2 linked regions of the Arabidopsis thaliana genome follow. The protein of the gene in region 1 interacts with the protein of each later gene in a pairwise test. Each region holds a gene or a part of one and is shown in the gene's direction. Other genes may lie near its edges.

What was found.
Region 2: the proteins of ZF1 (region 1) and AT1G62120 interact in a two-hybrid assay, tested with the Arabidopsis thaliana proteins (one large-scale study listed by BioGRID).

The regions. Positions count from the first base shown.
Region 1 is NC_003076.8:26,918,063-26,922,040, reverse strand, and holds ZF1 (zinc-finger protein 1), read left to right. Parts: upstream 1-1,861; 5' UTR 1,862-2,161; coding exon 2,162-2,899; 3' UTR 2,900-3,276; downstream 3,277-3,978. Other genes in the region: AT5G67460 (O-Glycosyl hydrolases family 17 protein), read left to right, coding at 26-57. UniProt on the Arabidopsis thaliana protein: Transcriptional repressor involved in the inhibition of plant growth under abiotic stress conditions.
Region 2 is NC_003070.9:22,959,349-22,963,998, reverse strand, and holds AT1G62120 (Mitochondrial transcription termination factor family protein), read left to right. Parts: upstream 1-1,895; 5' UTR 1,896-2,359; coding exon 2,360-3,673; 3' UTR 3,674-3,860; downstream 3,861-4,650. Other genes in the region: AT1G62130 (AAA-type ATPase family protein), read left to right, coding at 1-54, 319-429, 516-599, 683-843, 929-1,067, 1,170-1,229, 1,329-1,433, 1,521-1,634; AT1G62110 (Mitochondrial transcription termination factor family protein), read left to right, coding at 4,517-4,650.

The DNA.
Region 1 (3,978 bases):
TAAGACTTTGATTTTTCTTTTGTAGGTTATCAGCATTGCCGTTTTGTTCTGAGTTAGAGATTTGTCAGCCATTGAAGATCTGGAGACTGAGAAACAACGGAAGCAAAGAAGAATGATGATATTAATTTACTAGTTTAAATCAATGGTTTAACTCTTTTATCATTTAGGGTTTAACTTAATTATTGTTTACTTTTAATCCGTCCTTTGGCCCACTTGTCACTATTAATGGGCTTTGTTTTACCGAAACCGAAATGGGCCTTATTTTAGCCCAAATGGAAAAAAATAATCAAAAACTTATATCAGAGCCAGGTTTCGATCCTGGGACCTGTGGGTTATGGGCCCACCACGCTTCCGCTGCGCCACTCTGATTGTTTTGAATGTTTTATATCCAAGTTTTATATAAGCGTTAAATAAACCTTGGGTCGTTTGTTTTTGTTGATGGGCTTTTGGTCTGTCACCAATTGATCTCTGATTAGTATTCTTCGTATTTTTTTTATTTTTGAGAAATTTTCAAAGGACTGTTTCTATTAAGTGACTCTACATTAAAACCGCGTAGAAAAGTTCCCAATCATAAGTTGCATAACGACAGCTTTTAAGATAATCGTTGAAGCGTTTTTTGGCAGTTGAATTGACTAAGTAGACAAAACTGTTATGAGTAACGACGACCCACTTCATAATACAACAACAAACTCGAAGACTTATGACTTACTCCACTTTCTTTCATTCTTTTTTTATCTCCGTCAACGACCCCCAATTGTTATTTAACACATTACTTTACTCTCATTCAGTTTCTTCTGTTTTTTGTTTTTTAACTCAACATTTTTGTGTTTTGGTTGGTGGACTACTGACTAGTGGGCAAGTCTTACACACACAATCCTATGTACATTCTTTTATCAAGTGAGCTTTTATTATTTCTAAAATAAAAGGCGAACCAATCGAATTCGAAGGTAAACAAGTAGTATAGGATAGTGTATGTGACGGTGTTGACGGTGGTGCAACGAAGTGTCACCGTCATGTTAGCCTGAGCTTTAAGTCTCGTAACGACTTTAACTATCCACCGAAAAGTTTCACCATTCTTTTTACGCCACGTGGTCCACCAGAAGAATCCAGCCTTGTTTAGCCAATGAGAGAACGCCAGATAAGCTATATCCCAATGCCACCACATATCACAAATCGGGGAAAAAGATTTATACTCCAGAGTGGCAAAAGCTTCTTCTTCTTTCTAATTTGTTTATTTTAGTACAGCTCCGAAGATATGGCATTCCATTTCAAGAACAATTGTCTGCCTAATTTTAGTTTTTACATTCCTAATTGACGTTATTTTTTAATTTGTTGCAATTGTTATATAAAGTTTGGGTGACTACCAGGAAAAGTGTGATATAGAATCAACTTGGAAGTCATACAAAATTTCGGTTTTTGTTTAACTAAAAACTTTTGAAGAATTCTCGACAATTGGTGGAAACTTCGTCTTCTGACTATTTGAAATTAATGGGTAATTCATATAGTTGATTGGGAAATTTAAGAAAATGCAAGTGGAGAAAATAAAACCATTGAACAAGCACGAAATCTATAAACGGTTAATTAGGAGTGAGTACAAAGTAAAAAATAATAAGTATACTTAGTTAGCACTTAGCAGCCAATGATCAATAACAAAAATTCAGTTATGTGGCATACTTAGCTTAGTAAATAAACTCGTAACTGTGATTTTTTATTTTTTGGTTTCAACCTACTACATATAGTGATTAGTGACGCATAGTGTTGTAATCTTTTTCAATTCAACGTAAAAAATTGAAGATGTTTCTGAACATAGTTCTGGCAGTTACTAACTAAAAACACTGCATTGACTTGGTAAATAGTTACTCTAATAATCCAAAATTAGTGACAACATATTACATCTATATGTCAATATAAAATAAAGGAATTTAATGGATTGAAGAAAGCAAGAGCAGCACCACTTGATCACTCATAGCCCACGTTCCCACTCTCAATCCCAATTCTAAAGATTTCTTACAAGAAATATATATATAAATCAAAACTAACTCTCAAAAACACAAACACAACACAAACACAAGACGTGCTTACAATACACCACACACTTCACTCTTTCTTCATCTTCTTCTTCTTAAATAGCTCGAAATCACATCTCACAGAATTAAATCTTATGGCTCTCGAGACTCTCAATTCTCCAACAGCTACCACCACCGCTCGGCCTCTTCTCCGGTATCGTGAAGAAATGGAGCCTGAGAATCTCGAGCAATGGGCTAAAAGAAAACGAACAAAACGTCAACGTTTTGATCACGGTCATCAGAATCAAGAAACGAACAAGAACCTTCCTTCTGAAGAAGAGTATCTCGCTCTTTGTCTCCTCATGCTCGCTCGTGGCTCCGCCGTACAATCTCCTCCTCTTCCTCCTCTACCGTCACGTGCGTCACCGTCCGATCACCGAGATTACAAGTGTACGGTCTGTGGGAAGTCCTTTTCGTCATACCAAGCCTTAGGTGGACACAAGACGAGTCACCGGAAACCGACGAACACTAGTATCACTTCCGGTAACCAAGAACTGTCTAATAACAGTCACAGTAACAGCGGTTCCGTTGTTATTAACGTTACCGTGAACACTGGTAACGGTGTTAGTCAAAGCGGAAAGATTCACACTTGCTCAATCTGTTTCAAGTCGTTTGCGTCTGGTCAAGCCTTAGGTGGACACAAACGGTGTCACTATGACGGTGGCAACAACGGTAACGGTAACGGAAGTAGCAGCAACAGCGTAGAACTCGTCGCTGGTAGTGACGTCAGCGATGTTGATAATGAGAGATGGTCCGAAGAAAGTGCGATCGGTGGCCACCGTGGATTTGACCTAAACTTACCGGCTGATCAAGTCTCAGTGACGACTTCTTAACGTTGACTGAGTTTGAGGAAAAAGTCAACTATCAAGCGAAGAAAGGGTTAGTGGACGGTGAAGATTAACGGTCGTTTCTTTCCAGTTGCTTCGGTTTGAGCTTGACTGGGTCTGTAATGAAAATGATTGGAGTGGACTTGGCATTATTATTATTATTTTTAAAAAGAAATGTTAATTTGTTGTTGGATTTGTTTATAGATAGAGGAAACAATTGGGATACACAAATATTTTTTTTTTTTACAAAGAAAATAATAATGCAGAGATGGATGATTGGATCGTACACGTTATTATATAGTGGACCATTCTGTAATCGTGAATTATTATTATTTGTTAGAAATTTAATTTTCGTAATCTATACTTCATTTACTTCCGCAAGCAAAGGAAAGCCACTTGAATTCTGTTACTCCACACAGCTCCTAGTGATCTGTTCGTTCACATAAACTATCACACAAAAATAAACAATCAATAAAATATCTGTCATATTTTTTCAGTTAATAACATATTGTCGCAAGTATATATGTGACGTTTCGTAACACAAGGCTTAGTTTGATCGACTAAAAACTGAAAACACTCTGCCTTGTTCATAATGATGTGCAACTGGAAATTTATGTTTAGAGTAAGGATTTTTCATCTAAATGTTGTTTATTTTATCCAAAGTCTAAAATCGTTATCCTAGTTAATAGTTATGTTGAAGACCCTTGTTTGTTCTAGTGGTTTGATCGGGGGCAGTGGTAACGAGCTTCCCGAATCGGGTCCGCTACAATCTTAATATTCAAATGTAGGCCCATTAATAATATGAGTTATAAACCAGCCAGCTTTATAAGCCCATGTATTTATTTATTCGGCTTTTTCTTTAACGGCCCAATAGTGCAAAGCAGAAATGCATGTTTCGATGTTTAAGTGATAGAGTATATTTTAAATGACAAGGAGAAAATAAAATAAGGTAAACTTGTTGTAGAGGGATTTAAAGTTTAAACTACAACAAGTTTGACTGTAATGATTCGAACATGTTACCCACACAAGGAGGTGAATCAGCATATATGCATGCATTTGATTTTGTTTGTCTATGAGAATCTGCT
Region 2 (4,650 bases), on another chromosome or scaffold:
GTTATGCTTCCTTTTCAATGGCCTGAACTTTTCTGCAAGGGGCAATTAACAAAGGTGGTTGTCTTATCCGCATTTGGTTTTAGGAAATTCCCATATTGTTTCACTATGTCCTGCCTCGAATTGATGACAGATCTGTGAAGGACCTTTTATTTGTGTGTACCAGTATACATGTTCATAAGTTTTGTGAAGTAATGACGATATTAGTAATACTAGCTGATAATTTGGCTTTCCTCAAAAAATTTATCTCCTATAATTTAGATGTTAACGTTATGGATTGGTGGCTTCCTAATCAGTCTGCTCCTGTACTTCTCTACACAGCCTTGTAACGGAATTCTCTTATTTGGACCTTCTGGAACTGGAAAGACCATGCTTGCAAAGGCAGTGGCAACGGAAGCTGGTGCTAACCTCATCAACATGTCAATGTCAAGGGTAACAGAATATCCTTGAAAAGTTGGACTCTACCAATTTATACACGGAATCTCTTGTTCAAACTTGTGTTCTTCTCAATATTGCAGTGGTTTAGTGAGGGTGAGAAATATGTCAAAGCTGTCTTTTCGTTGGCTAGTAAAATTTCCCCAAGCATTATCTTTTTGGACGAGGTAATTCCTCATGGTCAATTCGTGGGCGAATCTTGCTTGTAGTCAGAGCATTGACTGTCTTACAATATTTTACTGTCTTGTAGGTGGAAAGCATGCTACATCGGTACAGGCTGAAGACGAAAAATGAGTTCATAATAAATTGGGACGGTCTGAGGACAAATGAAAAGGAACGTGTTCTGGTTCTTGCAGCCACAAATAGACCTTTTGACCTTGACGAGGCTGTCATTAGAAGGTTGCCTCATAGGTAATTTATATATAGCTTCCTTGTTGGACTAAGCTTTCTGTCAAATTGACATGTCGTAACAAGTTTTTGGTATTGGCTTCTGCAGGTTGATGGTGGGACTACCAGATGCTCGTAGTAGATCAAAGATATTGAAGGTGATACTTTCAAAAGAAGACTTGTCCCCTGATTTCGATATTGATGAGGTTGCTAGTATGACAAATGGATATTCTGGAAACGATCTTAAGGTAAAATTCCTAGTAATTCCTTTTAACCTTTTGCTATGGTCTGACGAAATGATAAGTAATGCTCATATATATCCATGTTACATGCTCTTTTGGTGCGTGCAGAATCTATGTGTTACTGCTGCCCGCCGTCGAATCATAGAGATAGTGGAGAAGGAAAAAAGTGTAAGTAGTCTTTGTGTTAAACCAAGAAAACTAACTTTATGCTGCCTAAAACTAGTCTATAGAATAAAAATATGCTTATGATGAGATATATTATGGTAGGAGCGAGATGCTGCTGTGGCTGAAGGCAGAGTTCCTCCAGCTGGAAGTGGAGGTTCTGATCTCCGAGTTTTAAAAATGGAGGATTTCAGAAACGCACTCGAGCTGGTATGATTTTTGCTTGTGAGCTTTCTTTTCTCAAATCTGTCTCTGGCTCAGAGAACTGTATAACTGTTGTCGATGTTGTTGAATCAGGTGAGTATGAGCATCTCATCAAAGTCTGTCAACATGACAGCGCTTCGACAATGGAACGAAGACTACGGGGAAGGTGGATCCAGAAGGAATGAATCATTCAGCCAGTACGTGTAGGATTGAGTCTACTTCAGAAGCAGAATGTGTTGTATATAATATGTTCACGTGAATAGATAGATAGTCATAAAACAGTATAAACTATAAAGGTATAGTGAGTTCTGACAGAATAACAGGTTTTAGTCGGAGTTTTGATACAAACCTGTCAGGTTCGGTCACTGGTAGTTTCAAATGACTTATATTCTTGTCGTAGTCACATTTCAACAATTTGTTTTAGCTTAAATAGTTAATAACGGTTCACATTTCAACTAAACCAGTCAGGTTCGGTCTCTAGTTCCAAATGTTTTTTCCCTTTTCGATCAATCGGACGATCTTTGCTTTGAAAGCATAGAAACACTTGAAGAAATCAAGAACCGTATCCAAATGAAGCTTCATGTATCTGATGACGACTTTCCCAAGTGGAAGTTGCGTTCATGTGACCATGTCAATGGATGTTGTTTATAATCGCTTCCAGTAAATCGAACGAGTCGACTAAACCGAATTATATTGATCATCCGGTTTGTTTTGATTGAATTTGAGCGACACGCAGTTCAGCTCCAGAACTTGAATTCGGCAAGCAGTAACACCGATGTATAACGGAGGCGAGGCTTCTTCCCACACAGACACAGAGGATATAGGAAACTGCGAAGCGAAAAAGCTTCGTGGCTCTAAAGGTTAGAGCTTTATTCAATTTCTCGAATTGAATCAGATTTAGCACACTGTGAGTTATTTGCATTGTCTTTGTAATGTATTCTCTGATTCTCCATGGAAGAAAGTTGGTCCAGTTGCAGAAATGGCGCCATTTGAGGGTTTCAGTGAATCTTTTTCAAAATGGATCAGCTTTTTCCAATACCTTCTCCTCCTCTGCTATTGCTGCTGATGTGAGCTCAAGAGATGGTCGAAAAGGTCACAACTTTACAGTTTCTTACCTCGTTGATTCATTAGGTTTAGCTACAAAAGTCGCTGAATCGATCTCCATGAAAGTCAGTTTCGATAACAAGGGCAACCCTGATTCTGTTCTGAGTCTTTTGAGAAGTCATGGGTTCACTGATTCTCAGATCTCCAACATCATTAGGACTTTCCCAAGATTGCTTATCCTAGATGCTGAGAAATCCCTTGCTCCCAAGCTTCAGTTTCTGCAGTCCATAGGTGCTTCAAGCTCTGAGCTCACCGAGACTGTTTCTGCAGTTCCGAAAATATTGGGGAAGAGAAAGGGCAAATCTCTCAGCAGATACTATGATTTCGTCAAAGTCATTATAGAAGCGGATAAGAGTTCCAAGTTAGAAAAGTTATGTCATTCTTTGCCAGAGGGTAGTAAGCAGGAGAACAAAATCAGAAATTTATTGGTGTTGAGAGAAATGGGTGTGCCTCAGAGGTTGTTATTCTCATTGCTTATATCCGATGCCGGAGATGTTTGTGGTAAAGAAAAATTTAAAGAATCACTCAAGAAGGCTGTTGAGATTGGTTTTGATCCAACCACCGCAACTTTTGTCAAAGCTCTTAACGTTCTTTACGGATTAAGCGACAAAGGAATTGAAAATAAATTCAATGCCTGTAAAAGGTTAGGCTTGGCTGTGGACGATGTATGGGCAATGTTCAAGAAGTGGCCAAACATTCTGACAAAGTCTGAGAAGAAGATAGAGAACTCCGTTGAAACATTTCTAGGCCTAGGATTCAGCAGAGATGAGTTTTTGATGATGGTCAAGCGATTCCCTCAGTGCATTGGATATTCTACAGAGTTGATGAAGACGAAGACTGAGTTTCTGGTGACGGAGATGAATTGGCCACTAAAGGCTGTGGCTTCAATCCCTCAGGTACTCGGATACAGCCTAGAGAAGAGGACTGTCCCAAGGTGTAATGTTATCAAAGTTCTCATCTCAAAAGGATTGCTCGAAAGTGAACTCCCTCCAATATCCTCTGTTTTGACAAGTACCAGTGAGGTGTTTTTATATATGTATGTTAGGAAACATGATGACAAGCAGCTTGTGGCTGAGTTGATGGCTATCTTCACCGGAGATCGTGTTTCACTCACCGATCAGAAGACACGCCTAGAACAATGAGCAAAGTCAAGGATGGATTTTTTTTTTGTTTTCTGTTAGGTTTAGATTCATTAGTGAATCTTGATGCTTGACTTTTGGAAGTAGAGAATAGATTTTGTGTATGAGTGTCTGAAACCCATTTAGACTTTTGTAATCTTAAGTTGACCCGGATCCAACCCGTTTTCTTCTAATGTGAAATCCGTTTGGGACAATAACCAAGAAACAGCAACACAACTATTTACTACATGACATATGTAGGTTATTGGTAGAACTAGAATAGAGATCTAGAGGTTTTGGATTGTCTGAACACGAATACTTTTAACCCTGAAGGATGATGAATTAGTCTTGTACGAAACAATCTTGAAGGATATTACTCACTCTTCTGGTCCAAGAAATGGACATATAGTATGTGACCTTTAGAGGAAGACACTCTTGTGTGCTCATGTAAAGTCTATGTCGTTGTTACATCTTGTAATAATACTTCTGTTGTTGTTGTGAGACAAAAACAAGTATAGCCAAATAACAACAGTATGTTTATTTTTAGTTCTAAATTAAAACAAAACGAGGGCTTTGCCTAAACCCTAAAGAGCTCATTTTTTAATTTTGCCTCCCTCAATTTGGATAATTGGATCTTTGAGTCTTCTCTAATTCTCTATGGAGAAAAAGGTCACACTTTTAACAATCTATGAGAAGGTGGGTCACTGATTGATGAATGAATTTGCTCTTCTTCCTCGCTCAATCGTAAGTTTAGTAGAAATTTTCAGAGTCTTCTTCTCGAATAGAAACGGATAGTTGGGGTAGAATCGCTTTTACACTTCTGGGATTTGTTGGTTCTGCTCTTCTTGTATTCGCATTTTCTTTGTCATGTATTCTGTGATACTCCATGGAAGAAGGTTGGTACAGTTGCAGAAATGGCGTCATTTGAGATTTGTTGTGCAAAATGGATCAGCTTTTTCTAATTCCTATTCTTCTGCTAGTGCTACTGATTTGAGCTCAAG